Ovis aries: one gene and its partners. The protein of the gene in region 2 interacts with the protein of the main gene of each other region in a pairwise test. Links are inferred from orthologs where the notes say so. Each region holds a gene or a part of one and is shown on either strand. Other genes may lie near its edges.

Region 1 (4,150 bases), on a different chromosome or scaffold from region 2:
TCCCTGGGCTCGCATCTCCTTATCACCTGCTGCCAGCCTCCCACAGGCACCTCTGCTGGCAACACACGGTTTATCACTAAACTCAGCTTTCATAGCATACGGATAGACACATTTAGACTTCAGTGGTAGGGATGGGCCACCACCCCACACACATACACACAAGCCACATGGTGGGAAAGGACTCAGCAGACCCCATTCATACTGGCCCAGAGCGTGGGCCAATCCAGCACGGGCCAAGAGACATCCCTAGGAGCTGGGGGTTACCACCCGTCTGCCTTCCTGCTGCCTCTATTCCTAATCAGCTCACTTGAAACATCCATTTAAAAGAAATGCTTACACTGTATCTGCTGTGAAAAAGGAAGACACAAGATGACTTGTATCAATATTCCCTAAATGTACCTCATCCCAAGAATAAACCAGAAATGTTAAGTATAGCTTTGCTATAATGCTTGGTTTAAAAATGCAGAATGGTCCAACCTGGTTGATGTGACTTGAGAATAATGCAGATGTTGCCCTTGATAAACACTGAATGAATGCAGAAAGCATACCCAGGTTAGCAGAGCCACGGGGGACTCTCAGACGTCTACCAGCCAGCTTAGCTCACCTGCATGCTTCCCATATCCTAACTTCAAGTAACACCCTTAACCGCTCCACCACAGCACAAGCCACCATCCTCTCGACAGCTACGTCCCTGAGCGCTCCAGGTCTTCTCAAGGCAAGTTCAGTTCAGTCGCTAAGTCGTGTCTGGGTCTTTTCAAGGCAAGTTCAGTTCAGTTCAGTCGCCAAGTCAGGTCCGACTCTTGGCAACCCCAGGGACTGCAGCACATTAGGATCCCCTGTCCTTCACTATCTTCCGGAGTTTGCTCACAGAGCACCATATCAGTAAATTTATACTTTCCTTAACCACTGAACCTGTGCAAAACTGTGCTTCCACTGTTTCCATAATTGGGACCTCCTGTTTTATCTGGGGGGGTCATTGATAAAGTTTAAGTGTTGTGTCTCTAACCCCATTTTCCCCATCAGCTCTAGGGTCTTTATCATGCAGGTTTGTACAGCATGATGGTTTTTAGAAACACACATCAGTTCCCTCCCAAGACCTAGAGTCTTGCAGGATCAGAATCTCTAGGGAGAGGATCTGGGACAAGAATCCAAGATTGTTAATAAAGATTTAGGTACATTTCCTACGCTCAAGGGTGTTTGGGAGTTCCTGGCATGTTAGTGTGGCCCCAACCACAAATTAATTTTCCTCAAAGCAATGAGTCCCTTGGACAGCAAGGAGATCAAACCAGTCAATCCTAAAGGAAATCAACCCTTAACATTCATTGGAAAGACTGATGCTGAAGCTGAAGCTCCAATACTTTGACCACCTGATAGGAAGAGCTGACTCATTAGAAAAGATCCTGATGCTGGGAAAGATGGAAGGCAGGAGGAGAAGGGGATGACAGAAGATGAGATGGCTGGATGGTGCCACCGACTCAATGGACATGAGTTTGAGCAAGCTCTAGGAGGTGGTGAAGGACAGGGAAGTCTGGCATGCTGCAGTCCATGGGGCCACAAAGAGTGGGAATATGACTTAGTGACTGAACAACAACAAAGCAATGAAAAACTAACAAAAAAATACCAAAATGTTAACACCTGGAGGTGACAGCACTAAGGGCCTTACACATTTTATGCAGACACGTAGTACTTTTATAACAGAAGAAGAAAATGCAGAGTGTAAGCTGCTTCCCATCTTGTGGGAAAGGCACAGCCTTTCCACACACACCACCACGTGGGACAGCCAGCAATCGCTCCATGCAGGGAAGGCAGGATTTCTACTCATCCTTTCCTATGGAGCGGAAACCCACTGTTTGAAGAAGCTTAGTAAGGCTCCCAAGGTCTCTCTGCTTCCAGTGGCTACGTGTTAGCTCAGACCCGGGCTCAGCCCCCGCCCTGGCCTCACCTCTTTCTGGGCCACCTGGAAGGGGATGGCTTTGCGCATGTGCTGCCGGGTGATGCCGCTCCAGCGCGTGCGGTAGTCCACGATGGGCATCTCAGGCCGGACGTACTTGTCGTAGAGGACCTCGCCGTAGTAACTCACCACGGAGCAGCGGGCCAGCTCGCTCACCCGCCCTCGGGGTCCCGTGCCCACCATCTCGCAGTCAATGGCCACGCACTTGCTGGGCAAGGGGCCGGCAGAGTCCCTGGGGGCTGGCTTTCTGTTGCACCCAGCACCTTCAGATTCAGCCCGCGGACGCTGCCTGGCACTGTCGGCCCCTTCTGTGCCTGGCGGGGCCCCAGGCAGCATAGGCAGAGAGGAGGGTCCTGGCTCCCGGAGTGGGCTCAGCAGCCCCTGCTCCTGCAGCAAGGCCTTCCGGGCCATGAAGCGCTGGTGCTGTCGGCTCTTCCTCTTGTGCTTCCTCCGAAGCACATCCTTGGCATTCCGGCTGGCCAGGGAAGGGCTCAGGCACTGCACTGACTCAGGAGCTTCCTGGGGTACCATCCCCATCTGTGCACCACTCAGGGCCAGGGAGGCCTGGGAGGTGATCTGCCAACAGGGCAGCAGCCTGGGAGAGAAACAGGGCAGAGGGGCAGGGTGAGGAACAGGCCCGGCCAGCCCTGCCCCCCCACCCGCTCCCTCCAGCCAGTGCGCAACTGCTGTACAGTGTCTCAAGACCCCAGACAAAGCCAAGGACCTGCTTTAATGATAACTGCACTCATAGGGTCAACATCACCTGCAAAATCACTGTCTTAAGTACTTTACATGGAATCACTCAATCTTTCCCACAACTCAGAAAGGTATTATTATCCCCATGTTGTAGGTGCGAAAGGTGAGGCATGAAGGCTTAGTAATTCATCCAATTAATAAACAGACAAAGGCTGATGTGAACCCAGAACCCAGGCTTTCAAATTCCACACCATAGCCTACCTCCAACATTGTTAGCTTAAACTAAAAATTATGAAAAACTTTTAGAGAGGTTTAAGAGAAAATAAACAAAATGAGAAAATAAAGATTACAGAGATGTTACATATATACGAAATCCCATTTTGGATAAACAAACAAAAGCTTTATGCAGTGTAAAGGTAGAACCTTTCCTACCCACAGTAGAACCTAGAGAAACTATCTCACAGGAAGCCCACAACAGTTGTATTTTTGATATGTGTTAACCAAAATGACATATCTATCAACTGACTTTCTAATTCACTCGTCATAACACTGTCTACAAACATTTAACATAGTTGGACTTTGTAGTGTAATCATGGAGGCCTACAGGCATAGGTGTGTGCTGGTAAACCAGCTCAAATCTAAACAGGAGAAACAGAAAAGAGCCCTGATGTACAGTGCTGTAGACTTCCGTGGTCCCTCCTCCACGCTCTCCATGCCTGAACGCTGGGTTGACAGGAGATGCTGTCACACACCATGGTCACAGGAAACAGCTGTTTGCTCCTGTGGGTTTACAAACCCCATGCAAAGACTGGCATCTTCCAAATCGTCAAGGATGCAGCTTGGGAAGCCTCATCTCATTTGCTGTGCTAAGTCATAAGTCAGCTGGTAGATTTTGAACAGACCACAAAACCAGCGCTTTGAAGTAGTCAGAGCAGGGACTAACTCAGCTCAGAATAAGTACCTAACCAATTCAGGTTCTTTGCATGTAAACCCACCCTTCCCTTGTGAATAGGAAATGGTAAAATCCATGTGTATTTTTAAAAATTATTATTATTTTAAAAGTTACTGGAGTATAACTGATTTACAGTGTTGCTATTAACTTCAGCTGTATAACAAAGTGATCAGTTACACACACAAATATTCCTTTTCATGTGCTTTTCCATTATGATTTATCACAGGATATTGAATATAGTTCCCTGCGCTATACAGGGGGCTTCCCCAGTGGGTCAGTGATTAAAAAAAATCCACCTGCAATGCAGGAGGCGAGGGTTCTATCCCTTGGTCCTGAAGATCCCCTGGAGGAGGGCATGGCAACCCACTCCAGTATTATTGCCAGGAAAATCCCATGGACAGAGGAACCTGGCGTGCTGTAGTCCATGGGGTCACAAAGAGTTGGACATGACTGAGCATCTAAGCAGCAGCAGCAGTGCTATCTATACTTGTTTATCCATCCTATTTGTAATAATTTGCATTTGCTAATCCCAAACTCCCAATCCTTCCCTT
Region 2 (3,451 bases):
TAGTGCCTGTTCATTGGGTGACAGTGGTTGTGGGGCACAGCCCAGTGGCTGGAGGGACTTAGAGGTGGCAGGAGCTCCATTAGCCAGTCCCTGGAAAGAGGAAGAAGAGGTAGAGGAAGGAGGAGTCACATTAGATGCTGACTCCTTCTTACAACTACTGGCAAGTAATGAGATGGATTCGGGCTTATCCCGAGCATGGGGCTGGTGGACAGCTGTGGCATGGTTCCAGGAGGCAGTACCTAGGCTGTGTGACTGGTCGGGACACCTGCCTGCCTGCTCCTTGGAGAGGCCACTGCATTGATGATCCTGCCAAAATTGCGATTGATGGGGGAATGCTCCACTGCCAGGTACCATCAGGGTCTCCTTTGCTTTCTGGTGATTCAGTGGCTCCTCAGGCTCTACCTTCAATCCTTTCATCTGGGTGGGCTCGCTAAGAGTCAGGGGCACTATTCCAAGACCAACTTGTTCCGGAGGTGGCACAGGAGAAGGAGGCACTTCCTCTGGGGGCCGCCCTGCATGATGAGTAAAAGAGAGAAGGGATTTGAAATGGAGTTGGTCCCGATGGTAGACTACTCGGGCTCGAGTCTCTTCAATTTCTTCAGATGACCAGCTAATGCCACAGCGAAGGCGCTGGGCCATGAACCAAGTCTTGACTTTCTCCATCTGCAGCCCATAGCGCAGGCAAAGAAGGGCAATGTCTGCTAAACTGGGGTAGGGGAAGTAGCTGAAGGTTTGGAGCAAGTGTTCATTGCTGTCCAGCTCACTGGTCTGGGCTGCTTGGGTCCACACAAGCTGTAGTTCCTCAGAGATTGGAGGGAGGCAGATGAGGCCCGCAGGGGAGCTATTAAGGCTGCTGGCCTCTTTATTAGGAGGCATGGTGCTTTCTGATTTGTGCCCTTCAGAGATAGCTGTAATAAGAAGAGAAACAGCTCGATCACTGGGGTTCCCCTTTCAGGCCATTGCTCAATTTCTACCAAACAAAACGTTGGGCTCCAAAAACAATTTTCTATGTGTACTGTACTGGATTGCTTTTAAAGTGTTTAACAATTTCTCATTTAATTTTCATAACCTTATAAATCATCAGAGCCTGCTATAATTCCCCCTATAGGTATGAAAAAACCAAAGTCCAGAGAAGTTAAATTATTCCAAGTCACAAAAATAGTGAGTGTTGTCACCAAGATGATTATCTGACTTCTGAGGTTAAAAAAAAGGAAAACATCCTTAGAGCCTTTATCTTTCCCCTTCAAATTCACTTCACCCTCTAAGTTCATGCAACAAGAGTGACAGAATGAAGATTCACCTAGAAAACCCAAAGAGATGTATGTAATCTCAGAACACTTTAGCTCCTAACAGACTATTTCTTGAGTTATCTCTAGATTATCTCTAAAATGTGGAAGATTAGGAATACAAAGTGTGAGAATCTAGAAGGTACAGAAGGTAGAACAGCACTGTCCCTCTACCCAGCTCCCTTTTCTTTTCTTCTTTTCTTGGTGGTGGAGTGTTGCGGGAAGGTGACTGAGTTTAATTTTTTTCTAAGTCTCATTAGGATGAGATGGGTCAATGATCTGGGATGAATGGAGTTCCCCTTGGTTTTGATCCGGAGAGGGTAGAGGGAGGTGAATGTTTCCTTCCCCAAGACTTCCGCAGAACAAAGGTTATTCCCCTTTTTCCCAGCCTTTGTCTCTTCCAACTGCTGTCTCTCTCCAGGAAGCCTAGAGAGCTCCCTCAGACCTTAACAGCCGCCTCCACACAGGGCGGGAGGCCTGCAGCTCTTATCTCTTCAGTCCAGCTTTCTTCTTGGAACCAGGTGGGCAGGCTCATTATAAACTGTAACCAGGTCCTGCAAGCTACCCAGTGGCACCAGGGCTCCCAGGCTCAACATGGGTGTGGGGACTGCAGAGAAAGCCTCTGACTGTGCTTTATTCCTGGAAACCTGCCCAAGCTATTTCCCAGAATAATTCTGGGCCCCAGTTTGACTTTTTTTTTTTTTTGCCACGTGGCTTGTGGGGATCTTAGTTCCTCAACCAGGGATTGAGCCCATGCCCCTGCATTGGAAGTGCTGAGTACTAACCACTGGGCCACCAGGGACTTCCTGGTGATGGAGTTTTAACTCAATTCCCTGTTAAATGTTCCCTGTGTGGGCATTAGAGACTAACATTATCTGTCACCCTTTACTTTTCAAGGACTCCCATCTGAGTTTACAAATAGTCCCTGTAACACATTACGGAGAGGACAGCATGCCTATGTAAAAGTTACAGATAGAGCAGTGTAATATCGGAAATTTTATATGATGAACAGAAAAATTTGGCAGCATTCTAATGCATGTCACCATTCCCTTTTAACAAGAAAATCTTAACAAACTGAAGGCCATGCAGACCTTGAATGCAATACAGTTTGAGAACCTTCAGAGGGTAAGTGGAGGCAGCATGGCATAGTGGATATGAATGTGATTAAGGCCAGCATTACATAGGAAGTTTGAATCCCAGTTCTGTCTGAACTTACAGGCGCCTCAGTTTCCTCATGTGTAAAAACTGAAGATAATGTTGAGCGTATGTAAAGTTACATATGTTTTTACAGAGCACCTACTGTGTGCTAGGTGTTGTATAGGCGGGGCCTAGAGCTGTTAGAGGTAGAGGTCTAGGGTGAGACAAATCTGAGATGAATCACAGCTTCACCACTCCCGAGAGTGCTTGCTGAAGCCTTAGTTTCCCATCAGAATAAAAGGTGATAACAGCATCTACCTGCAAGGTTATGACTAAAAAAATGCAACTGACATTATGCCTATACTAAAGGCTCAATAAATTAGAGTTTTTATCATTGCTTCAGCATCATGGGATGATTCTGAAAAGTAATGCTCCTCCTAGGCAACAGGGGAAGTGAGGCAAAGATGGAATATTTTAAATTACTGTATCCAATCTGTTATTGCAGAGTCCTAATTCTAATGGGGGAAACCAGGGTATCTGATTTTGTACTTTTTATATTTGGGGAGTTGGATATAATTCCAGAAAAGATTTTGCTGCTTTTTAAAAAAGTATCAAAATGACTGCTTTAGAGAATCTATAATTTAGATATAAATCCTTTTTGATTGCTGCCGGGTGAATTTTGATTGCTGCTACCCAACAGGTTCATCTCAAGACACAGCTGAGTGGCTGTGAGGAAGTGCCTGCATGGGTAGGTACTTAAAACCACCATTTGGAAGTTGTGGCCCACCAGGAACACCACTACATCTAAGCTGGAGAATACTTGATGATCCAACGCTCGACACCCACTCAACCTTATTCGTGCCCTATTTTTTTAAGGTCGTGGCGACAGTTTAGACGTGAGGAAAAGGTAGCACAAGGAATAAAGCAGTCCAGTGTGAGGTGAAGACTGCTAGACAGGGAATAAGGCAGGTGCAGGTACCAGCTGACAAGGAAACAGGTTGCTTTCATTCGTGTGGTCTGCTATCCTT
Region 3 (4,767 bases), on a different chromosome or scaffold from region 2:
CAGGTTTGATCCCTGGTTCAGGAAGATCCTACATGCCGTGGAGCAACTAAGCTCACGTGCCACAACTACTGAGCCTGTGCTCTACAGCCCAGGAGCGGCAACTACTGAGCCCACATACAGTAACTACCGAAGCCTGTGTGCCTAGAGCCCATGCTCCGCAACAAGAGGAAGCAGTGGGTGGCAAGAGAGGCCCAGAGCAATGAAAAGTAAAAAAATTAAAAAGTTATTCAGTTTGTATACACACAAGAAAGATTTTGGGTATGTTTAACATGGATAATAGCGCACTTCTCAAATACCGTGTACATATGATGCATTTGCTGGAAAATCTCAGTCATCGCTTGATGCAAACAACAGAGGCTGGGAAACATCACAGCTTCCAAGAGAGGAGGGATGAAGAGACCTGAAGTGCAAGGCATGTGATAAAGAAAACCTCAAAGTCTGACAAGTGAGCACAGCTACTTGAAATCACCTTAATCAGGCCCCACATTAAGTGGGGAGAGAAGGTACTGGGTCAGTCTGTTCTCTGGACGCAATTCACCACCCGACTTCATCCCATGTTCCAGGAGCAATCCCGCAGCGTGTCTAGGGAGCAGCTGAGAAGCTTGAAGCCCAGATGAGGCCTCTTTGGTACCACCAGCTTACCACCGCTTTAAGTTTCCAATTTCAGCCTCAGCTAGCTGCAGCCAGAGGACCGCTAAAATCTGGCAACTTTGTTCAGTCAATGCTGCTGCTGCTGCTGCTGCTGCTAAGTTGCTTCAGTCGTGTCTGACTCTGTGCAACCCCAGAGACGGCAGGCCACCAGGCTCCTCTGTCCCTGGGATTCTCCAGGCAAGAGTATTGGAGTGGGTTGCCATTTGCATTCTCCCTCAATTAACACTACATCTAATCAACCTGGAGAGGAGAAACATCAATGTAGGATTTTCCCTCCCGGTCACTGCTTCAGAATCATGGTTAACACTCACATCTGGGGAAACCCCTGTTCCGACCACCTAAAAACCTACATGGACAGCTCAGTCTCGCAGTTGAACCCACTTCATCTCCTGTGCACCACTGCCCTCCTATTTACTAAACCCTTGGCCCAGGCTCGATTCCTGTTATTAATTTACCCGTTTATTAATATCTGGGGACACCCGGTAAGTGAATTACGGGTAGTGTTTGGAAATAAAGTTTAGGTCCGCTGTGATAACTCAAAGCACCAGAGTGATTTCATTTTCAGTCTCTTTTAGCCTTGAAAAGCCCTGTTGCCAACGATACCTGATGCAGAGGGACAAAACACGCCTCAAATTACTCTCATTCCTACTAAATCCCTTTGGCGAAGCCGAGGAGGAAGCCGGGCAGGGACCAGGCGGGACTCTGCTACCTCGGGGTTCCCACCCCAGGCCACACCCCGTAGCCTCTCGGGGTTCACTTTCTTTGGGGTCAAGGGCAGGAGTGGGCCTGCGCGGGCCCAGCGCTGAGGCCTGCTCATCCCCTGCGCATACCCAAACTTGCCAGGCTCAGCCCCAAACCTGTTGGCAAAATAAACAAAGGCAAACACAGGGGACCCGACCTAGCCTGAGTGCCAGAGGTCGCCCCGCGCCGGCTCCAGCTTTGTCCCCACGCGGACGAGCTGCCAGTGAGCCCAGAGCCCCGGCACACGCGCAGCCCTTTCAGGGCGACCGCCACGGTCCACACACGAAAGCGCTTTGCAATCACGCCCCCCACTCGCTCCACGCCGAATGCGCTCACGAGGGAGTTACCGTCTACGCCTACAATCACACACCGAATTCTTCCAGAACCGCTGGGTGGTTCGATCGCCCAGAATAAGCTACCAGGGCAGCGCGATCGTGAGAAACTTTGTTTCCGGGGCCGGCGATCCCCGGTCGGACGCGGAGCCCGGCACGAAGCGCCTAGGGGCCGCGGGAAACCTCCCGGACGCCAAGTGACAGCAGCTCCGCGCGGGGTCGCCAACAGTCCCGATCCCAGAAGTTGTGCGGGCCGCGCTCGCCTCCCGGTCCTGCCTGCGCGGGGCCGGCGATCCACGCGGTCCTCGCCGGCGGCGCGCCCGGCCTCCCCGGTCCCCGCTCCGGGACCACCGCGCAGGCCTGCCCCGCCCGCCCGACCCGGGGAGGGGGCGAGCCGGAGGTGCCCGCAGCCGCGAGGCCAGGCCGCGCAAGCGACCGGGCCCCCAGCCCCGGCTCCGGCCCCGGCGCGCCCCGCCCCGGCTGCCCCGCAACTCCGCGAGCCGCCCAAGTTGACGGCCTCCGCCCGGGCCCCAGCCCCTGAGCCCCGACCCTCGGGCCCCAGCCCCCGGCCCCCGCTTACCTCGCGCGCCGCGCGCCGAGGCCGGGGCAGCGGCGCGGGTCCCGGGCGGCGGCCGCCCTGCGCCCGCCCAGGCGCCGCTCTTTGTCTGCGCCGCTCGCTCCTCCCGCCGCTCGGCCGACGCTCCGGCCCGGGCGGACCCCGCGGGCCCGGCCGACCCCCGCCGCCGAGCCCAGCGCCCGCCGGCCCGCTCGGCTCCGGCCTCGCTCCCGCCGCGGCGCCCCCGCCCCTCCCGGCTGCGCCCGCCGCGCGCCCTTCCTCCTCCTCCTCGTCCTCCTCCGCTCCGCCCAGTGACGCCGCCGGGGCCGCCCAGGCCCGCGCGCCCGCCGCCCGGGACCCACCTGGGCGCGCACGGCGGCCCGGCTCGGGCGGCGCCGGGGCTGGCTCGAGGCTCAAACGCGGGCGCCGCCCGGCCCGGAGGACCCTGCGCGGGGCCGGGCCGGGCCGGGCGCCGAGGGGAGGGGAGGCCCAGCTCCGACCCTGCGCGTCCGGGAGCGAATAGGAAGACGGGAGAGGCGAGAGCAGCAGCAGCCCGGCCTCGAAGGACCGACGGGTGGTCTGTCCATCCCCTTTTTGTTTGATTTTCTTATCAGGACGCGCTGGGGCTTGGCCACCGCCCCCTCTCCCGGAAGCCTTCCCACGGCACCCTCGGCGGAGCAGGCCTGCGGTCCATCAGAAAAGTGACTTACAGAAAAATGTCACTTCCTCCGTGTAGTTGCTTCTGGGCATTTTTATTTATTTGCCTCGTATCTATTTACTTTCCCAACCAGACACTTTTTGACTCCCTCGTTATCGTCGGAAGCAGTTCTTAAAAGCAGAAGAGGAAACCACAATGTCTGTTCCTCCCTCTGTGTCCAGCTCAAACCCGCCCACAGGGCGAAATCCTGGGTGGAACTGCAGGAATGTAGGTCCCAGGAGTTGTCACTGGTGGTGGGACCGTCGGGCCGCCTGGCCACATGCTTACCTGTAAACACACTTGGAAGACTGAAACCCAAGAGGAGGGGCAAGACACAGGGTTCCTTAAACAGGCACATGTATCCAGATGTCTGTCATCAATCTCCCCCCACGTGGCTTCCCCAAAGGAAATCCTACTATTCAAATGATTCTGATATCCTGGTGGAATAGGCCGGATCCATGTTAATGAGGGTCTTCCTTAGGCTCCTGGCCTCTCATTATATTAAAGCAATCGTAGTTTACCCCAGGTGACAAGATGATGTCACTGAATGAATGCCTCTTTCCCAACACAAGTACCCAAGGAGGGTCCTGGAGCCAGTATATCTTTGAAGTCCCAGTTGAGTGTTTGACTGTCTGGTTCTTCAACTGTGGAACAAGAGTTTCTTACCCTATCTAAAATCTATCCAACATGGAGATAATATTTGCCCAGCTCCTCTGGAAGTCCCTGGCATACTTCCAGGCAGTAGGAAGCACTCAGTGGTCAGTGGCTGGAGGGGATCAGGGCACTGAGCCACCATCAGTCCAAGGTCAGGGTGTCAGAGACAGCCACCTGTTCTACATCCTTGAGAAAGAAGCTTCCTCAGTCTGTTGTTTTGTGAAAACTTTGTCTTCCTAAGAAGGAAAGCAGAGTTTATAGTAAATGGTCTGGCCCAGTTCTAAATTAGTTTACTCAAAATAGGTATAACAATATTGACCCAGTTTTTTGCTACTCCTCTGCTTTGTAACCTTCACTGAATGGAGAGTTGAACTCCTCTTCCTTCTCTGGGTCTTTGTAAACTCACCAAGGACATTCTCTGTCTGAAACCCAACATCTCTTTCTCAGTCTTTATCTGGTGCAGTTTTCTGTGCACATTGCATTTCTGCTGTTTCCTAAAATGCAGTCATCTATCTGTTCATTTATCTAACATCACTACCTTTCTAACTTATCCATGTTTGTCCTTATCTGGCATGTTCTAACCTCCAACAGTTATATACCCAAAACAATATTGGCCCATTTGTTTTCATTAATATGTACCTTTCTTTTTTAGAGAGGCTCAATCATTTTTTTGTATATTTCCGGTCTGATTTTCGGGGGTTAACTTTCAAACCTACAGCCTTAGGGAGCTCCCAGCTCATCTGCCATTCCTCTAGGCAACTGATAATCTCTTGAGTTTCATCAGGTTCAGAATGAAACTTCCCAACTGAGCTCCTCCTCCAGTGATCACAGGCAGGGCCAAGAGGCCATCAGGCATCTCAGCTCCAGAGAGAAACCTTGTTGAAATTCGACTTCTTCCTTCCCTCTCCCCAAGCTTGGCCTTGGCAGGACCCAGCATGGGCTCTGTCCTCAGGGTTCTAAGCTCCAGAGCAGCAGGAATTAAGTGTGGGCATCATCGTGATGGTGGGATAACTCATTTGGTGCTTTTGCCAAAAAATGCTGAGCTGTCAGAAGTTTACAACACTTTTTAAATTTTTTTTAAAAATAGAAGTTTGGAACACTTAGAAAGGTAATAACTCAAACTGGGATGGTGTGAC
Region 4 (3,202 bases), on a different chromosome or scaffold from region 2:
ATTCTCCCTTCCCTCCAGTCCCTGGTAACCTCTATTCTGCTTTCCATTTCTAGGAATTTGCCTATTCTAGGAGCCTTATATAAGTGGAATCATACACCATTTGTCCTTTTGTGTCTGGCTTCTTTCACTTAGTATAACATTTTCAAGCATGTTTTGGCATGAATCAGGACTTCATTCCTTTTAATGGCTGAATAATATTTCACTGTATGGATGGACTATATATGGTTTATCTCTTCATTCATTGGTGGATATTGGGTGGTTTCCATCATTTTGGTATTATGCATAATGCTGTTATGAATATCCATGTACAAGTTTCTGGGTGGATATATATTTTCTCTTCTCAAGGCACATACCTAGGAGTAGAATTGCTGAATCACACAGTAATTCTATGTTTAATTTTTGAGGAGCAGCCAAACTCTTTTCCATGGTGGCGCACCATCTTACATTCTCACCAGTAGTAAATGAAAGCTCCAATTTCTCACTAACACTTGTTATTTTACATGAAAAACATTATTGTAGCCATTCTAGGCTGTGTCCATCTTTGTCATGTAAGGAAACAACTATCATTGTGCAAAGAGCACAGATCTAGGCAGAAATCCAGCTCCACCACTAACATGCAGTGTGAATCAGGCATGTTCCTGGACCTCTTAGAGACTTAGTTTCTTTCTGTGTAAGATGGAGCTAATAATCTATGCCTGATACAGACTCTAGAACACATGAAGCTCAGTGGGTAGCTATTATTTTCCACTAGAATGTAAGCTTAAGCAAGGCAGGGATTTGGTCTGTTAGGCACGTCTTAGTAGTATCCCATATGCCCAGAGCAATGAGTGGCCTGTAGACAATACAGAATATCTGTGGAATGAATGAATGGAGAACTTTCTCAGCAGGCAGGCTTCTGCGGAAATGAACGGTCTCATTAGTGAGGACCCTGTCATGAGAGATGTTGAGCCCTGATCTGGATAAACACTGAGTTGTCGCTGTGTGTAGGCCCCACAGAGAGATAGTAATAGGAGAGCTGTCCCATCTTCAATGCGCAAAGGCTATAAGAGTTGTGGGGACACTAACCTCCAAACCCGGCCTGCAGACTCCTGGCAGAGTGGGTGGAAGGGGTGTCAGGAGGAGATGATGGTCAGCCAAGGGGGTAGGGGCTGGAGCTGGAGCCCCCCTGGGGCAGGTGTGGCCCTTGACCCCAGTGAAGCCAGCCTGTCTGGGCCTTCTCCCAGGTGCTGCCCGACCGAGAGGGGAAGCGTTGCATGTTCTGTGTGAAGACTGCCTCCCGCACCTATGAGATGAGCGCCTCCGACACGCGCCAGCGCCAGGAGTGGACAGCTGGTGAGTGCTCGCGGGGTGGCCTGGACCTGGCTGGGCCCCAGTCGCCTCATCGGTGAAAAGAGAGTGAGAGCCCTTTGCCCAGCAGGAGGCCGGAGGCTGGATAGGAGCCACTCCAAAGGCCCCTTTCTGGCGGTGGGCCCCCCGGAGGCCCCCCTGTCCTCGGCTAGCCCCTCCCGCTCCCTCCGCAGCCATCCAGACGGCGATCCGGCTTCAGGCCGAGGGGAAGACGTCGCTGCACAAGGACCTGAAGCAGAAGCGGCGCGAGCAGCGGGAGCAGCGAGAGAGGCGCCGGGCTGCCAAGGAGGAGGAGATGCTGCGACTGCAGCAGCTGCAGGAAGAGAAGGAGAGGAAGCTTCAGGAGCTGGAGCTGCTGCAAGAGGCGCAGCGGCAGGCGGAGCGCCTGATGCAGGAGGAGGAGGAGCGGCGCCGCAACCAGCACCGGGAGCTCCAGCAGGCGCTTGAGGTCCAGCTGCGCGAGGCAGAGCAGGTATGGCTGCACCCGGGCAGAGGAGGTGGGCCGAGGGTTGAGGCCCCCGCCAGGAGCTGAGCGCCGCGGGGCGGGGCCTGGGCTGGGGGCGGAGCCACGCACTGAGGGATGAGCGTGGAGGTGGGGCTTGTCTTGAGTGATTTTGGCGGGGGACAGAGATAGGTATGGGATGGGGACAGGGCCTATAGGGTAAGGGACTTGGCAGAAGGATGGCTTGAGAGGAGAGATGGTGTGGGGCGGGGCCCGAGCCTACGAATTGGGAAGGATGGAGTGGAGAGATAGGTGTAGAGTGAAGCCAGGTTGGGAGACCTGGCTGGCGGGCGGGACCTTGACAGAGGAGCTGCTAAAGACCTTGTGTCTGGGGATGAATTTGGACCGAGGCTGGACTATGTGGGACCTGACTTGATCTGAATTTATAACGAGGCCAGTCTGGAGAAGGTAGGATGGGAGGAAGGCGGGATGAACCTGGAGACGGACTAGAGATGTAGAGGCAATTAGATTTAAGATTTAAGAGATCTAGATCTGGAGTCGAGACACTGTGGGTTCCATACCAACTCTGCCTCTTAGGAACCCTGTGATCTCAGGTAAGTTACTTGGCCTTTCTGTGCCTCAGTTACCTGTGACATGTTGATGCCAATAGAACTTGGTTTATAGAGCTGTGGAAAGGAGGATCAACTAAGGAAATACTTTTGAGTTATAATTGCTCTCACAATTATAATTATAGTCATTCCCTTGCTACCACTAGTCTAATTATAATTATGAAACATTATATTACAATGTATAATAATAACTATTAAGGCTGGTGCTAAAAAGGGAATGACTTGAGCCCCTTTCCCCCATGTGGTTCACTGATCCTCATCAGACTTAGTCAGGTTTTCAGAAGGGGATCAGATCAGGAAAATCTGACCTGAAGGAACTCCCCAGACCCTCATCCAGAGATAACTAGCTGGGCTGGCCTCACAAAGCCCTGGGGAAAGGGCAGCATACCGGCAGCCTTCCTCTGCCGGGCCCCTGCTAACCTGGCTCCCTGTCCCCCATTCAGGCCCGGGCCTCCATGCAGGCTGAGATGGAGCTGAAGAAGGAGGAGGCTGCCCGGCAGCAGCAGCGCATCAAGGAGCTGGAGGAGATGCAGCAGCGGCTCCAGGAGGCCCTGCAGCTGGAGGTGAAAGCTCGGCAGGACGAGGAGGCCGTGCGCCTCGCTCAGACCAGGTAGAAAGGTGGCCCCTCCCTGACGCCCCCACCCTCCCACCTGTCGAGCACCTGTGAGGTGCCTCAGCCTTGGAGGTGACACAGTGGATACCCCGCAGACTGCTAGAGGAGGAGGAGGAGAAGCTGAAGCAGCTGCTGCAGCTGAAGGAGGAACAGGAGCGCTACATTGAGCGG
Region 5 (4,710 bases), on a different chromosome or scaffold from region 2:
GTGGATTCTGACTGATGACTAGACCTAGGGCTAATAAGGAGCCTTAAAGGAGGGCACCAAGCCCTTTTGTGGAATGTGTTCTCACACAATGGCAATAAAAAGTCTGCTGTGAAGAAATCTCACTGAAGCCTGGTTTCTTCCTGCTCTCCTTTTGGAAAGTTTCCACACTACCCTGCTGCATGGGTGGCTTAAGGGTGCAGGGAGCCCAAGGAGTAATAGGCTGTTGAGAAGAATATTTTGGAAACTTGTCCTGAATGCACTCCCGAGCCTATTGTCCTTCGTTGGGAAGGAGTCCGGGGAAGACCCTCCCACCCTCTGCTACTCTTCACAGCAGGGAGTCATGGTTAAAGTCCTGGTTAACTGCCAGGGTTAAAGCTTGCTTTATGTGGCAGTTCACAGAATTTCTGAGTATGCCAACCACCCACCCATGGTGTGCCACGCCCACTTAGACACACTGACTCTGGGGATGACAGCCAATAATCCTCTTGGAGCCACAGGACCATGATCTTCTCTTGAGTTATCCCCTTCCCCAGCTTCCCAGAATGAGGCTCACAGGCAGGTCATATAAAGTCCCGAGGATGTGCCCACAAGGCTGGACAGGACGATTCACGTTGTCCAAACACAAAATGCATTACTGGGTGATCTCCTGTGGCTCACCTGGGGCGCTTCATTTTTCATGGCAGGCTCTGATGTGCATTTTCTGTATGGTTTATTCATTTTGTAAAGTAAGACACATCTTTGGGGCTTCTGTACATGTCGGTTGTACTTCACAGCCCAGCCTTTCCTGTCAATCACTCCACCCACATAGATGCTTCCTTCCTGATCGAACTTTGTGCGTCCAGTGTCTTGATAACTTTGAGTGATTGTGAATGAGCATTGTCATCATGGCACTTTATGACTGGGAGTGGCAAGATGGATTTGGGTAAAATGCAAACAAAACCTGACATTTAGTAACTTCTCTGAGATTGCAAAAGTGACAAGCAGTTGGATTTGTTTTTCTTTTTCTCATCCTCTGTGCATTTCCCATGCCCTGGTTTGGCCTCAGAACAGCAGAAATGAAAGACCAAGAATATAATCAAAGGACTTCCCAGGTGGTCCAGTGGTTCAGAATCTGCTTGCCAATTCAGGGAATACGGGTTGGATCCCTGGTCCTGGAAGATCCCACATGGCAGTAGTAACTAGGCTGTGTACCACAACTACTGACGCAGGCTCTAAGCCTGTGCTTCCAAACAAGAGCAGCCACTGCAATGAAAAGCCTGCACACCACAAGAAAGACCCAGTGTAGTAAAAAATAAACAAATAAATAAACAGTCAAGAAGGCTTTCCATGTTCTACCACCTTCTGGACCAGAAGCAGGGAGGACCTGGGTAGCTTTAAGAATTTTAAAAGTTCCTGATTGGACTGGATAGGCTCAGGGTTCCACTGAGTCTCAGTACGACAATCACCACCCACAGAAACTTATCCTCAGGGAATCCTCGGCAGCGGCTCTTTGAAACAGAGCTAAAAGAAGAGAAGCCCCAGCTGCTGGCGCGCACAAACCCAACCTCCAAGGAAACACGAAGGAACAGATGAGATCTTTCTTACCCCATCCATGTGGATTCTGACGTTAGGCACCAGCCGGAAAGGACTGCACTGCGGACCTCTGGGGTGAGTCCTGCTCCTCCTGCCGTCCTGCGGGGTCAGCACGCCAGGCCGGCGGAAGGACCCCCCTCTCCCCGAGCCCTGTCCGGCCCGCACGCCGTCCAGGAGGCGCACGAGCAGCAGGTTGGCTGGCAGCGCCTCGATGCTGCAGAACACCAGGGTCCTGCACTCGGGGCACCTCAGCTCCTTGTGGGCCTTGAAAATCCTCTGGAGACATGGCTTGCAGAAGGTGTGCTGGCAAGGGAGAACTTTGGCGGTGACATCGAGCTTTTCAAGGCACACGGGACACTCCAGAAGATCAAGTAACGTCACGTCATCCATTTTATTTTAAAACTCCAGTCCTGACCTGGAGGGGCAGAGTCCACATGGTCTGGTCAGCTGAGCCAGTGGGGGTAGAGACGGGGCTTCTTGAGAGCGTCAGGATGCCCGCTTGTCTGAAGGAGAAAGGAAGACGGAAAAAATTGTGATTGCCTTCAGAGGTATATCCCACCTACAGGAGGCAGAGCCTCATAAGGCGGTTCGCAGGGACTTTGTTTCCGCACCCAAGTTTCAGATGACTCATTCTGATTCAGTGCTAGCAGGTAGAGACCTCGACTCCTGCCTGCTGGAGGATGCGAGGGAGCAGCTAATACAGCTTCTGACTGCTTGCCGGACTAACTTACTCATTGCCTCTCCGTGAGCAAGGCGAGAGAAGGGAGACAGAACTGACCCGGGGCTCCAAGGAGGAAGCTTTCCAGCAGTCCGTCTGGATCTCAAATGAAAGGCCCCTCAGGATGTAATTTCCCTGAAGCTATTTTCTCTCTTTCTCTTCTTTAAGTGTATCTGTTCTCTGCATCACACTGATAACAAGCTGTTTACATAAGTGTATGGGAATCTCCCGTAGTTGTAGAATTCTATCCTTCACAGTACATCTTCCCCCTTTATTTTGTTCTAGCAATGTACAATTTCTACGAGAACCTAATTTTCAAAAATTGTTTTGCCTCAACTCCAGGCTGTGGAGCTTGAAAGTTTTTTCTTTCTTTTCGTTCCTCTTTTTTTCGCCTTCTTACCTTGATTATCTTAGCCTCAGAGACACCATCCCTCCCATAGATAAAGTTGCACAGCCTGTTTTGTTACTTTGACAACTGTTCTGTTTCAACTGAAGCAGATAGGAATTTGGGATTGTGGTCACAGCCTGCAAGAACCAAGATGGGGCAGCCAATACAGGGGTGTGTGTGTGTGTGTGTGTGTACGTGTGTGTGTGTGCGCGCGCGTGTGTGTGTGTGTATTCTGAACAGTCTCCTTGTGGGTGTCTGAGAAGTCCCCCTCTTAAGGAAAGTGGCTTGGGAACAGGTCCCGGTCCCTCTCAGCTCCAGGGCTTAGGGGAACGCTAGCCGGAGGGTTGGCACGAGCCAGTGGCCCCACTGGTGTAGACAGGCAGACAGGACAAGCCAGGCTGGGAGAAGGCGCCCGCCCTCCGGAGACAGCTCCAAAGATGTCAGCACGCGGAGGTGTGCGGGGTGGGGGCCACTAACCTTGAGCTGGCCACCCGGGTCTGAGTTCAGCTCAGCACTGTCCTCGATGCTCCGCCAGGCTCCCTCCACCGGCTTCCGTTTCCCCTGGAGCTGCTGCTGCCGCCGCTTTGAAAACTTTAGCTCGAGTCTTAACTCATTTCAGGGATCGCCTTACCCAGCCCGGTTAACGCTTTCACCGCCGTTCTGCCCTTTGCGCTCTCACGCTCTGCTACCAATCATCCTTCCTTTGTGGGAGTCGATTTCAGGGAAAAGATTACAAGCGGGTAAAATACAAGTCAATTGCCTCTAAGGTTAAGTACCGACCAAGTTTATACTTCCCCTTCCTCATTTTCTGTCCTTTCCCGGAAATTGAAACACACTCAAGTTATGAACATGCCAAGGTGATTGTGTTTATTTCAAACCTTTATGAGGATTTCCTGAAAAGTTCAAACGTATTAAGGTAGCTGTGAACACAAAGATAAACGGGTCACCTAAAAAGTACTGCTCTATAAAATCAGCCAGTCCTTGAACTATGAGATTTGAGACGGACTTGAGCGATCTGTTTGCTCAATCTGATGAAATTAAAAAAACGAAACAAAACAACAGTGTTGTCGTAGTCCAGACACATCCTTGAAAAATCAAAGGACAGGAGGGCTTAAAAAAAAAAAGGAAAGTAGAAATAACCTGGTGGTCTAGTGGTCGGAATTCTGAACTTTCTCTGCCAAGGGCTGGGTTTGGCTCCTGGTTGGGAAGCTAAAATCCCACAAGTCACCAAGCTATGTAGCATGGTGCAAATAATAATAATAAATTTAAAAAGGTAAAAAGAAAAAGTAATATTCCAGCTTCTCTTATCCTACCCACTGGAGCCTTTTTTAGCCCCAAATAATGCTTATACTTCTATTTCTTGATTTATCAATAGTATATTTCATTTAACACTTTAACACTACACTACAAAGTTATCCAATAAAGTAAATAATAATAATCATCATTAATACCTAACAACAGAGTAGTGGAGCCCTTATCTGTGCCAAGTACTGTTGTAAATATTTTATCTTCATGAACTCATATAATCCTTCTATCAGCCCAATGATACACTGGCCTCTTACCCTCATTTTATGAAGAAGGGAACAGAGACCTGAGACATTAAATAAGTCATCCCAAGAGACACGGTGATCTGTGACCTTCACTACCATGTCCTGTGGTGACACAGCTTTAAGAGGAGGAGAGATGGTTGAGGTGAGCTGGACCTCATCTAAGACAGCAGAAAGTCAAGAGATAATGACGAAAGTGACCGATCAAATTCTTTGGCAGATGAGGCAGCTGGGAGATTCTTGAAGTTGGGAGATTCCTTGAAGTTGCCCAGTAAGCTAGGGGCAGTGCTGGGACTAGAGAGTGTGTCTTCTCTCTCAGACGTAAGGCTGACAATTCCTTATCAGGCAGAAAGCAAACAGATGGTGGTGATTTGTTTGTTTTAGAAAGTTCTTTCGTGTCAGTTCTGAAAAAGCAAGCATGCTTGACCTTCGAAACAGGGGAGATCTTAGGGATGGAGCAGATGAAGTCATATGTCCCCCCAGGT
Region 6 (4,816 bases), on a different chromosome or scaffold from region 2:
TTCATTCTTCAAACATTTAAGGAGCTTTGTTAAGTGCTGGTTCATACACTTACACTTACTGAATGGCACCATGCTAAGAAGTAGGGGGCCTGGCCTGCCCAGAGATTATAGTTTAGTGGGGGAAATGAAAAAAATAAGTAAACCAATAAACAAGAGATAAACGGGGTGTTGAATAGAGAGCAACCAGTATGGGTGGAGAAGAGGAGACCTCTTTGAGGGCTTGGAATAGTCAGAGAAGATCTCTAAGGGAATGACAACTGAGTTGAGGCCTGAGGAATAAATATGAGATGGCTATGTGAAGGGCTGGAACAAAGTATAGACGCCGGGGGATCAGAGGTAGCAAAGAGCTTGGGGAATCCAAAGAAATGAAAGTGTGGCTGAAGTATGGTAAGCAAGATGGAAGATGATCATGAAATGAGCATTTGGGATGGGCCAAAGCAGGCAGGACTTATGTGTCGCCCATGCTAAAGGCTGTATTTTATTGTACGGCCACTGGGCAGTTATTAGCTCCACACTTTATTCTCCATGCAACAAGGAAAGATATGACTGGATTTACATTTTAAAAAGATCATTCTAGGAAAATTGGTATGGATGCTTCAACCAGACAGGGTCACATGAAAAAAAGTGGCAATGAGGGGAGGCGGGTCCAAGTTAAAAAAGGCTTAAGAGACACGGTTTTCATATGTAATGCATGAGATGATATTATGCCCTGGATCAAAACACAAGATGGAGGAAACTTCTGAATATGAATTATATATTAGATGATATCAGAAATATACTATGACTCTTTCAGGTAATAATGATAGTATTGGGGTTATTAAGGAAAATACGCTTGCTTTTTTAGAGATGAATACTGAAAGTGTTTGGGGGTAAAATGTTACGAGATCTGAATCTGTCTTCAAAAACGGCAAAAGGAAAAAGATAGAGCAAATATGGCAAAAGGTCAGAAACAGACATCTAGATGACTAGATCTAGAAATCTAGGCTGACTGTTCACAGGAATTCCCTGGTCATCCAGTGGTTAGGACTTGGTGCTCCCAATGCAGGGGACCCAGGTTTCATCCCTGGTTCAGGAGCTAAGATCCTGCATGCCATGCTGCTGCTGCTGCTAAGTCGCTTCAGTTGTGCCCGACTCTGTGCAACCCCATAGACTCTATTTTCTTTTCTCTGAGATTGATTCCTGAATGCATGGCTTAAGCAACTGATGACTGACAGCGGCACTTACTGAGATGGGAAAGGCTGAAGTAGAGGCAGATTGAGGAGTGCAATTAACAATTTTATTTTGTCCATTGTAAGTTACTAAACGGATGATCTGAATTAAAGTCTAAATTCTTCCACTAAAGATTAAATGACCTCCAGAAAATCATAACCCTCCCTGGTCTTGAGCTTTCTCATCTGGGAAAGTTACTTCACTTCTATTTCCTGATCTAGAAGATGGAACTAATAACAGTATCATAACATTACCATATGATCTATTAATCTCACTTCTGGGCATTCACTCCTAAAGAATCCAAAGCAGGATCTTGAAGAGGTATGTGCACACTCATGTTCACTGAGTATTATCTATGATAACAATTTGGGTAGAAGCAATCCAAATGTCTGACAGACAAACGAATAAAGAAAATATGGTATGTACATACAGTGGAACATTATTCAGATTTTTAAAAGGAGATTCTCTTACATGCGAAAGGGTTAATGTTGAGGATATTATACTAAGTGAAATAAGCCAGTCATAAAAAGACACATACTGAATGCTTCCACTCCTATGAGGTTATCTAACGTTGTCAAAATTAGAAACATCAAGTAGAAAGGTTGTTGCCAAGGCCTACGGCAAGGGGAAAGGAGGAATTAGTGTTTAACAGGAATAGAATTTCAATTCTGCAAGATGAAAAAGTTCTAGAGATTAGCTATACAACAATGTGAAATACTTAACATTACTGAACTGTATGCTTAAAAATGTTTAATATGGTAAACTTAATGTTATGTATTTGTGACCATAATTAAAAGTAAATTGGGGAATAAAAGGGTGCCAGAAATTATGCAGGTAGCTTTTATATAACAGCCTCTCATCTCCATGGAAAGCGGAACAGAAAACAGGAAAACAGGTAATTCAAGCTCCCTAGTTCACTTACCCTGCAGCAGGTACTCCATCATGTTAATGGTGCCCCCGGTGACAGGCATCATGGTGACTGGAGGTGCCTCCATGTTTATCTGTTTAAGTTGAAAACGACAGAACTAGATTTGGAATCCCCAGTCAGGTAACACACAGGATACACCTGGGGAAGAGTTATACTTGTTAATACATGGGAGAGGCAGAGAGAGACCAGATCTGCTTGGGTCATTGGCCTGGAGATGAAAATTCATTCATCCACCCATTCAAAACTTTAGTAACTGCTATAGGCCAGTTTCAGGTGATCCAGAAATACACAAAGGAGGCCTGATCATGGAGTTACAGCATAATCTTTCAGTCTCAAGGTCTGAAACCCTTCAATGGTTTTCTGTGCACCCTGGGACTCAATGTCTTTCTTCTAAAATGAGGCCATGATATTAACCCCCAAGTCTTTGTGGCTCAGATGACATAATGGACCTGCAACTAAAGACTGAAAAGTGACTTAAGGACTCTTGTATGCCCTTCAATTTACAGATGAGGATGTTGAGGCTTGGGGAGGAGCCTAAGGACACACAATAGGTGGGTGGCAGAACCTATACCAGACTAAAATCTAGGCGTTCCACCTCTCTAAAAACCTTTTAAAGAGATTGAAGCGAAAGCACGAAGTTCTTTCCACTGATGCTTTGTGTTAGTCGTTCAGTCGTGTCCGACTCTTTGTGACCCCATCGACTTAGGCCTGGCTTCTCTATCCATGGGGCTTTCCAGGCAAGGATACTGGAGTGGGTTGCCATTTCCTTCTCCGGGGGAATCTTCCCAATTCAGGGATCAAACCCGGGTCTCCTGCATTGCAGGCGGATGCTTTACCGTCTGAGTTTACTAGGGAAGCCCCAATGATGCTTTAGGGCCTCCTAAACCCAGCATCAAAACGTGCCCACTTATACCAAAAACACACCGCCAAGCGCGTTCCAGCCTCTTCCAGGAAAGCGGGGGACCGTATTCACCCGAGCACCTCGGAGCTTTCGAGCAACAATCACCACCCCCAGCCCTAAACTTGAAAACCCCTAGGCAGTGCAACAATTCTCTCGCCTCTTCCCACGTCTGACAAAAACCTTTCGTCGCGCAAACCTCGACACCGCCACTCTGCGACGTAAGGGTGCCGAGAGGACAAAAAAAGTCTCTTCCGCTGTACGGCAAGCAGGGGCGCATGCGCAAACTCCGATGCTGCACGGAAGATGGCGGCCTCCTTAGGAGGGGTCCTTTGGGAGATTCAGGCGGCATTGCAGTCATACGCCATCTTCCAGGAAAATATTTTTTTCAACTGTGAAGACCTGGACGTGTTTTTGTCCAGGAAATCTCTTGGACCTGAAAGGACAAAGAGACCCTGGGGAAGAGAGCTTCAGAAAAAGAGGAGAGATTGTCGTAAAACAGAAACTTATTTTGGGTGGGTATCTGATGATAGAACTTCCCAGTTGCTCAGCGGTAATGAATCTGCCTGCAGGAGACACAGAAGCCTCTGGTTGGATCCCTGGGTCGGGAGGATCCCCTGGAGGAGGGCACGGCCGGAGGTTCACTCAGAACAGCTCCCGCTCCTAAGGAAGAGCTGCGCTTGGAGACTTTTGGTCCTCATCTGGCCCCTCCCTCCGGCCGGCGTGCGCGGCCCCGCGGGGCTGGGGTGGGGCCCACCTGCGCCTCCTGGGGGGCGTGCAACCCGCCTCAGTGGGACTCAGTCTCCTAACCACCGCCGCCGCCACACCTTACATCAGTTTGGCTTCTGATGTTTTCATTTCCCTTGCTGAGGTGCTGCTTCTGGGTTAAAGTCATCTTATTGCCTGTCCATTTGTAGACAGGACAAGGTCGCTCGAATAGATCAGGAGTCGAGCTCAGAGTGGGCTTCCCTGGTGGCTCAGATGGTAAAGCGTCTGATCCCCTGGAGAAGGAAATGGCAACCCACTCCAGTACTTTTGCCTGGAAAATTCCATGGCCGGAGGAGCCTGGCAGGCTACAGTCTATGGGATCGCAAAGAGTCGGACACGACTGAGCAACTTCACTCACTCCGGCTCAGAGTAGGTCAAAAGTACACACATGTTGGGAGGAGTGGGAATCAAAACAGAAGGAGGGTTGCCAAGTACAGCCAGGACTAGGTGTTCACCATGTATGCTTAATAAAGGCCAGAATCTCATCTGTCTCTGGTGGGAGGGTCTGTTGGTTTCACTGGATCGAATTCAACCGATCCGAACCAGTTTCATGGAATAAAACACTGGACTTCGGTGGCCACTGTTCCCATCAAGAAAGGATGGTCGCGTTTGGAAGTAAACATGTTGGAGAGCTGTAAACACCACAAACCTAAATACAGGTCACAAGGCTGAAACTGGGTCTAATCAGACCTGAAACCAAGGAAAAGAATTCGGCTTTTCCAGCTGGCTCTCCTATGAACTTTTGATGGTTTACTGCAGCTGGATTACAGGCACTTCCGAAGGTAGTGAGTCCTGTGGTGGGTCTTCCAGGCAGTTCTGGATAAGAGGCACTTTCCAGACTTCAAGACCGCAGAAGAAAAGTGCAAGAGTCAACTTTGAGTCAAGCTCAAAGGTAGTAGATCCAGGGACTGACAGATTAACCTACAAAAGTGACAAGAACAGTGGGAAAAACTAGCTGTTCTGCCCCAGGGGTGAGGGAAAATGTCTCAAATTGCAAACACTTACATCTATGA
Region 7 (4,150 bases), on a different chromosome or scaffold from region 2:
AGAGGCCTTCAGTGACTCCATCACCTCCAGGATAAACAAATAAAAAGCCGTCCACGTAGTGAACGAGCACCCCCAGCCCCGCTCTGCTTCCCTCCAGCCCCAGCCGTTGCCACCCTCCGAATGCTCGCTCTCTCAGCAGCACAGAGCTTCTGTGGTTTCTCCGCAAGCGCCCCAGCCGTCACCTGCCTGCTTGCACTGCCCCTCCTGCCTCCCTTCTCGCTGTCCAGCTCTGCTGTCTGTCAGCGCCACCTTGGGAGTCACCCTTCAAGGAAGCCCTTCTGTTACCCTCCCCTTGACTCCCATCAGGCCCTGCACTCATCTGTGTCACCGCCCGCCTTATAGTCGTATCATTATCCGCACGTGCGTCTGTGACCCTGTGGAGAACAGAGACTGTCCCTGATTCATCCCCTTACCCCTCAACCCCCCATTCCCCCCGCCACAGTATATAGCACAGTGTCCAGTAGTTTAAAAGTATTCAGTTTCTTAAATCAGCTGTTTGTTGAGTAATGGCCAAGGACGATTGTAGGGGAGAGTTTCTGTCCTGCCCACCAGATAAACCTCCACCTCACCAGCCTCTCTGTCTTTTGCACAGTGGGACCCTGCTCGGCTGAACGAATCTACCACCTTCGTGTTGGGATCTCGAGCCAACAAGTAAGTCTGTACGGAGTTGGTGCTGAGGGAGGGGCCCTGAGGGGTCCCCCTGAGCACCACGCCTGCTGGGATCCTCACCACTCATCTGTTGCCTTGCAGGGCCCTGGGGATGGGGGGCACCCGAGGGAGGATCTACATCAAACACCCACACCTCTTTAAGGTACGTGAGTGCCAGGAGTCGGGCCAACCCTGGCCATGGAGTAGACGGCGCTGCGAACTCTCCATGGCCCAGAGGAACCTGGAGTAAACCCTGACCCAGGAGCCAGGGCAGCAGGGTTCTAGTGGCCCCTCTGCCCTTAACCTTTCCTTTTTGTAATTGACTCAGTGCCTCTGTGCCTCATAACATAGCTCCTGTCCTCGTCTCTTTGCTGTGTGTCTAACATGGTTCTAAGTGCTTCGCTTACGTTACCTCTTGGACATGAGTCAGGATTCTGTCTTCTGCAGATCCTGAGCTCTTAACCACTGCTGTATTCAGTTGTCTGCGAAATAAAGAGATCGCAATGGAGCAGCAGTTCTAACGTTTTCCAAAGAGGGGACTCCTCGTCTGAGCTATGCTTTGGTCTCCACTATTTGAGAAAATAATGGAGCGGGGAGGGCATGAATTCATGCTCTTAGATAAGTTTGTATTTTATCAGTCACAGAAGCATCCAAATATATTAGAAGAAAGGTAACATGCACGTGTTCAGGTTAATGGTTTTTGCACCTCTGTGCAAGACTCGGTGTCCCTTGTCAGAACAGCTCCTTGGGGTCTCAGAATCAGGGGCTCTGGCCGCTACATTTGGTGCAAGGTCAAGTTCTTTAAAGGGCAAAGCTACTTCTGTCTTATCAGTCTTATGTTCTGGGATTTTCAACCTATGTTTCGGCCTGCGTGCTGCTACTTCATTTTCCTCCCTTAGTGTCTCCACTCCTGCTGTTCCCTTTGATGACCTTCCCCCGCCACCCCCACCCTTTTCTCTGCCTGACTGTTCTGTTAGATCCACCTTGTCCAAGACCCTCGCTGGCATCATTGCCAAATGGATATGCTCTTAGACCTCCTTCCAGGTCCTTTTGTGCAGTGGTTAAGAGTATCATCTCAGTCCCGATTCCATTACTTACTAGCACGTGACCTTGGGCAAGTGGCTCCACATTTCTGAGCCTGTTTTGTCCTCTGTAAAATGAGAAGGATGCAAACCAGCCTTTTATGGTTGGTAGAATTAAGAGAGAATGTAGTGAAACAGCCTTTTTTGTAGTAACTTTTCCTTTTAATACTTATTTGGCTGTATTGGGTCTTAGTTGTGACTCACAGGCTTAGTTCCCTGACCAGGGATCAAATCCACATCCCCTGCATTGGAAGGCAGATTCTTAACCATTGGACCACCAGGGAAGTCAGTAGTAATAACTTTAAAAGGAGTATAGTCTATAAAAACATTGAATCATTGTATTGTACAATTGTACAATTGTATTGAAATTAATACAATATCATGAATCAGCTATACTTCAAAAAAAAAAATGGACTTCCTCTATTAAAAAAGAGAGAGAGAGAGAGATAAAGCACAATAAAGCCCCCAGACAATGCCAGCATAGCAAGGGCTCAGTAAATTGTCAGCATTACCAGCATATTTTCCCAGTTCTTAGACCCATTGTTGGTAATAAACTCATGGCCAGTAGATACTCTCTCTTACATTAGTCTCTTCAGAATAATAAGTAGAGGGGAAAGTTTTTTGGTTTTTTACTTTTAATTCTTTACTGGTGTTGATAAGCATCTTTTCATCCATTTAGAGTTTTTGTGTTTCTTCTATAAACTGCCCGTTATACCTTTTTACTCATTCTTCTGTCCTTCTAAAGGCATTTTGCAAATTTCCTTTTTGTTTTTAACTTTTTAAAATTATAGAAATAATATATAAACCCATTCTTGTAGAAAGATTCAAAGAATGCTCTAAAGCTAATGGGGAACAAGGCACCAAGCTCCGCTTCCCTCTTGACTCTGACTCTTCTCCCCTAGAGGTTACCCCCAGCAGCATGGTAGCATTTTCAGTCCCATGTGTGTCTATGTGTCCTTGTCCTTTAATGATGTTTTGTTTATGTTATTGGTCTTATCCTATATATATTGCTCTAAGTTTTTTTTCACCCCAAAATTTGTTCATTCATTCATTCAAATATCTATTGAGTACTGAGCAGTCTCAGACTGCAGAGATACAGCAGTGGGCAAAACAGACACACACAGCTCCTTGCCCTCACAGAGCTTACAGTCTAATGTAGAGCAAGCTGTATACCCTGGAGCCAAATCCAGCGTAGCCTTGTTTTTGTCCAACGCAGAGTGATGACATTTTTTAAGGGTAATTTAAAAAGAAAAAATAAAGATTATGTGACCAGGAAAGCCTAAAGTATTTATGGAAAAAGTGTGCTGACCACTATAAATCTAGGGAATAAGACCTTAAGGGATTCGTCCATGTTATTAAGTCCCCCTCATTTTACTTTTTTTTTTTTTTTCAAGATTTATTTTTGACTGTGCTGGGTCTTTGTTGCTGCACAGGCTCTTCTCTGTTTTCGGAGAGCCCCTCCTTAGGGTCTGCTCTCTGGTTGGGATGCACCAGCTTCTCACTCCACGGGCTTCTCTTGTTGCCGAGCTCAGGCTCTGGGACACACGGGCTTCAGTAGTTGCGGCTCCTGAGCTCACTAGTTGCAGCTCCCAGGCTTTAGAGCACAAGCTCAGTAGCTGTGGCGCGTGGGCTCAGTCGCTCCTCGGCATGTGAGGTCTTCCCAGATCAGGGATGGAACCTGCATCCCTTGCACTGACAGGCGGACTCTTCACCACAGAGCCACCAGGGAAGCCCTTCTTTTTTTTTTTTAATTTTATTTATTTATTTTTTTGGCTTCATTGGGTCTGTGTCCAGCCTTCTCTAGTTGCGGCAAGCAGGGTCTACTCTTAGTTGTGGTGTGTGAGCTTCCCTCGAGGCGGAGCGCCAGCTCCAGGTGCTCGGCCTTCAGTAGTTGCTGGATGTGCGCACAGTAGTTGGGGCACGCAGGTTTAGTTTCTCCCCGGCATGTAGGATCTTCACCGACCAGGACTGAACCCAGGTCCTCTGCATTGGCAGGCAGGTTCTAATCCACTGGACCAACAGGGATGTGCTGACTCCTTTAATTTCAACAACAGTCCTATAAGTGTTAATACCCTCTGTTTTACAAATGAAGAAACTGAGTCTCAAAGAAATCATTGCCTCGATTTACACCACCTAATAAGTAGAAGAAACCAAGATTTATGAACCAGGTTTTTTTTTCTTTTCTTTCTTGTTTTTTTTAACCTGCCACCCCTAAAAGCCCACCAGGCCAAATTGGCCACCTGCGCATATGCTCATCTCCAACTTTCCCCACCACACGTGCTCCCTATGGGCTGAGCTCTGAACCCCACAATTAAGTTCTGACCCAAGATGCTCTTCTGCTTCCAGGGCATGAAGTGTCCTGACTTTTGCTTTAAAAAATTTGGTCACCTTAATAGCCACATGTGTTGTAAGCCACCTCC

The links.
Region 1: the proteins of HOMEZ (region 2) and AEN interact in binary tests that used the Homo sapiens proteins (3 or more experiments, as listed by UniProt). The two-hybrid records come from large-scale screens. The link is inferred for Ovis aries from reciprocal best matches to the Homo sapiens genes HOMEZ and AEN.
Region 3: the proteins of HOMEZ (region 2) and NCK2 interact in binary tests that used the Homo sapiens proteins (3 or more experiments, as listed by UniProt). The two-hybrid records come from large-scale screens. The link is inferred for Ovis aries from reciprocal best matches to the Homo sapiens genes HOMEZ and NCK2.
Region 4: the proteins of HOMEZ (region 2) and DEF6 interact in binary tests that used the Homo sapiens proteins (3 or more experiments, as listed by UniProt). The two-hybrid records come from large-scale screens. The link is inferred for Ovis aries from reciprocal best matches to the Homo sapiens genes HOMEZ and DEF6.
Region 5: the proteins of HOMEZ (region 2) and SH3RF2 interact in a two-hybrid assay, tested with the Homo sapiens proteins (2 studies listed by BioGRID). The two-hybrid records come from large-scale screens. The link is inferred for Ovis aries from reciprocal best matches to the Homo sapiens genes HOMEZ and SH3RF2.
Region 6: the proteins of HOMEZ (region 2) and MED18 interact in binary tests that used the Homo sapiens proteins (3 or more experiments, as listed by UniProt). The two-hybrid records come from large-scale screens. The link is inferred for Ovis aries from reciprocal best matches to the Homo sapiens genes HOMEZ and MED18.
Region 7: the proteins of HOMEZ (region 2) and DNTTIP1 interact in binary tests that used the Homo sapiens proteins (3 or more experiments, as listed by UniProt). The two-hybrid records come from large-scale screens. The link is inferred for Ovis aries from reciprocal best matches to the Homo sapiens genes HOMEZ and DNTTIP1.

What each region holds. Positions count from the first base shown.
Region 1 is NC_056071.1:18,981,445-18,985,594, reverse strand, and holds part of AEN (apoptosis-enhancing nuclease), read right to left. Parts: intron 2,547-4,150; coding exon 1,943-2,546; intron 1-1,942. UniProt on the Homo sapiens protein: Exonuclease with activity against single- and double-stranded DNA and RNA. Mediates p53-induced apoptosis.
Region 2 is NC_056060.1:21,432,146-21,435,596, reverse strand, and holds part of HOMEZ (homeobox and leucine zipper protein Homez), read right to left. Parts: intron 909-3,451; coding exon 1-908. UniProt on the Homo sapiens protein: May function as a transcriptional regulator.
Region 3 is NC_056056.1:60,724,845-60,729,611, reverse strand, and holds the start of NCK2 (cytoplasmic protein NCK2), read right to left. Parts: upstream 3,112-4,767; 5' UTR 2,991-3,111; intron 2,862-2,990; exon of another isoform or gene 2,643-2,861; intron 2,513-2,642; exon of another isoform or gene 2,305-2,512; intron 1-2,304. UniProt on the Homo sapiens protein: Adapter protein which associates with tyrosine-phosphorylated growth factor receptors or their cellular substrates. Maintains low levels of EIF2S1 phosphorylation by promoting its dephosphorylation by PP1.
Region 4 is NC_056073.1:9,420,680-9,423,881, forward strand, and holds part of DEF6 (differentially expressed in FDCP 6 homolog), read left to right. Parts: intron 1-1,223; coding exon 1,224-1,332; intron 1,333-1,520; coding exon 1,521-1,819; intron 1,820-2,861; coding exon 2,862-3,028; intron 3,029-3,126; coding exon 3,127-3,202.
Region 5 is NC_056058.1:54,888,056-54,892,765, reverse strand, and holds the start of SH3RF2 (E3 ubiquitin-protein ligase SH3RF2), read right to left. Parts: upstream 3,238-4,710; 5' UTR 3,156-3,237; intron 2,076-3,155; 5' UTR 1,963-2,075; coding exon 1,585-1,962; intron 1-1,584. UniProt on the Homo sapiens protein: Has E3 ubiquitin-protein ligase activity. Acts as an anti-apoptotic regulator of the JNK pathway by ubiquitinating and promoting the degradation of SH3RF1, a scaffold protein that is required for pro-apoptotic JNK activation.
Region 6 is NC_056055.1:238,803,352-238,808,167, forward strand, and holds the start of MED18 (mediator of RNA polymerase II transcription subunit 18), read right to left. Parts: upstream 3,210-4,816; 5' UTR 3,062-3,209; exon of another isoform or gene 3,051-3,061; intron 2,276-3,050; exon of another isoform or gene 2,211-2,275; 5' UTR 2,205-2,210; coding exon 2,132-2,204; intron 1-2,131. UniProt on the Homo sapiens protein: Component of the Mediator complex, a coactivator involved in the regulated transcription of nearly all RNA polymerase II-dependent genes.
Region 7 is NC_056066.1:74,556,225-74,560,374, forward strand, and holds part of DNTTIP1 (deoxynucleotidyltransferase terminal-interacting protein 1), read left to right. Parts: intron 1-592; coding exon 593-651; intron 652-750; coding exon 751-811; intron 812-4,150. UniProt on the Homo sapiens protein: Increases DNTT terminal deoxynucleotidyltransferase activity (in vitro). Also acts as a transcriptional regulator, binding to the consensus sequence 5'-GNTGCATG-3' following an AT-tract.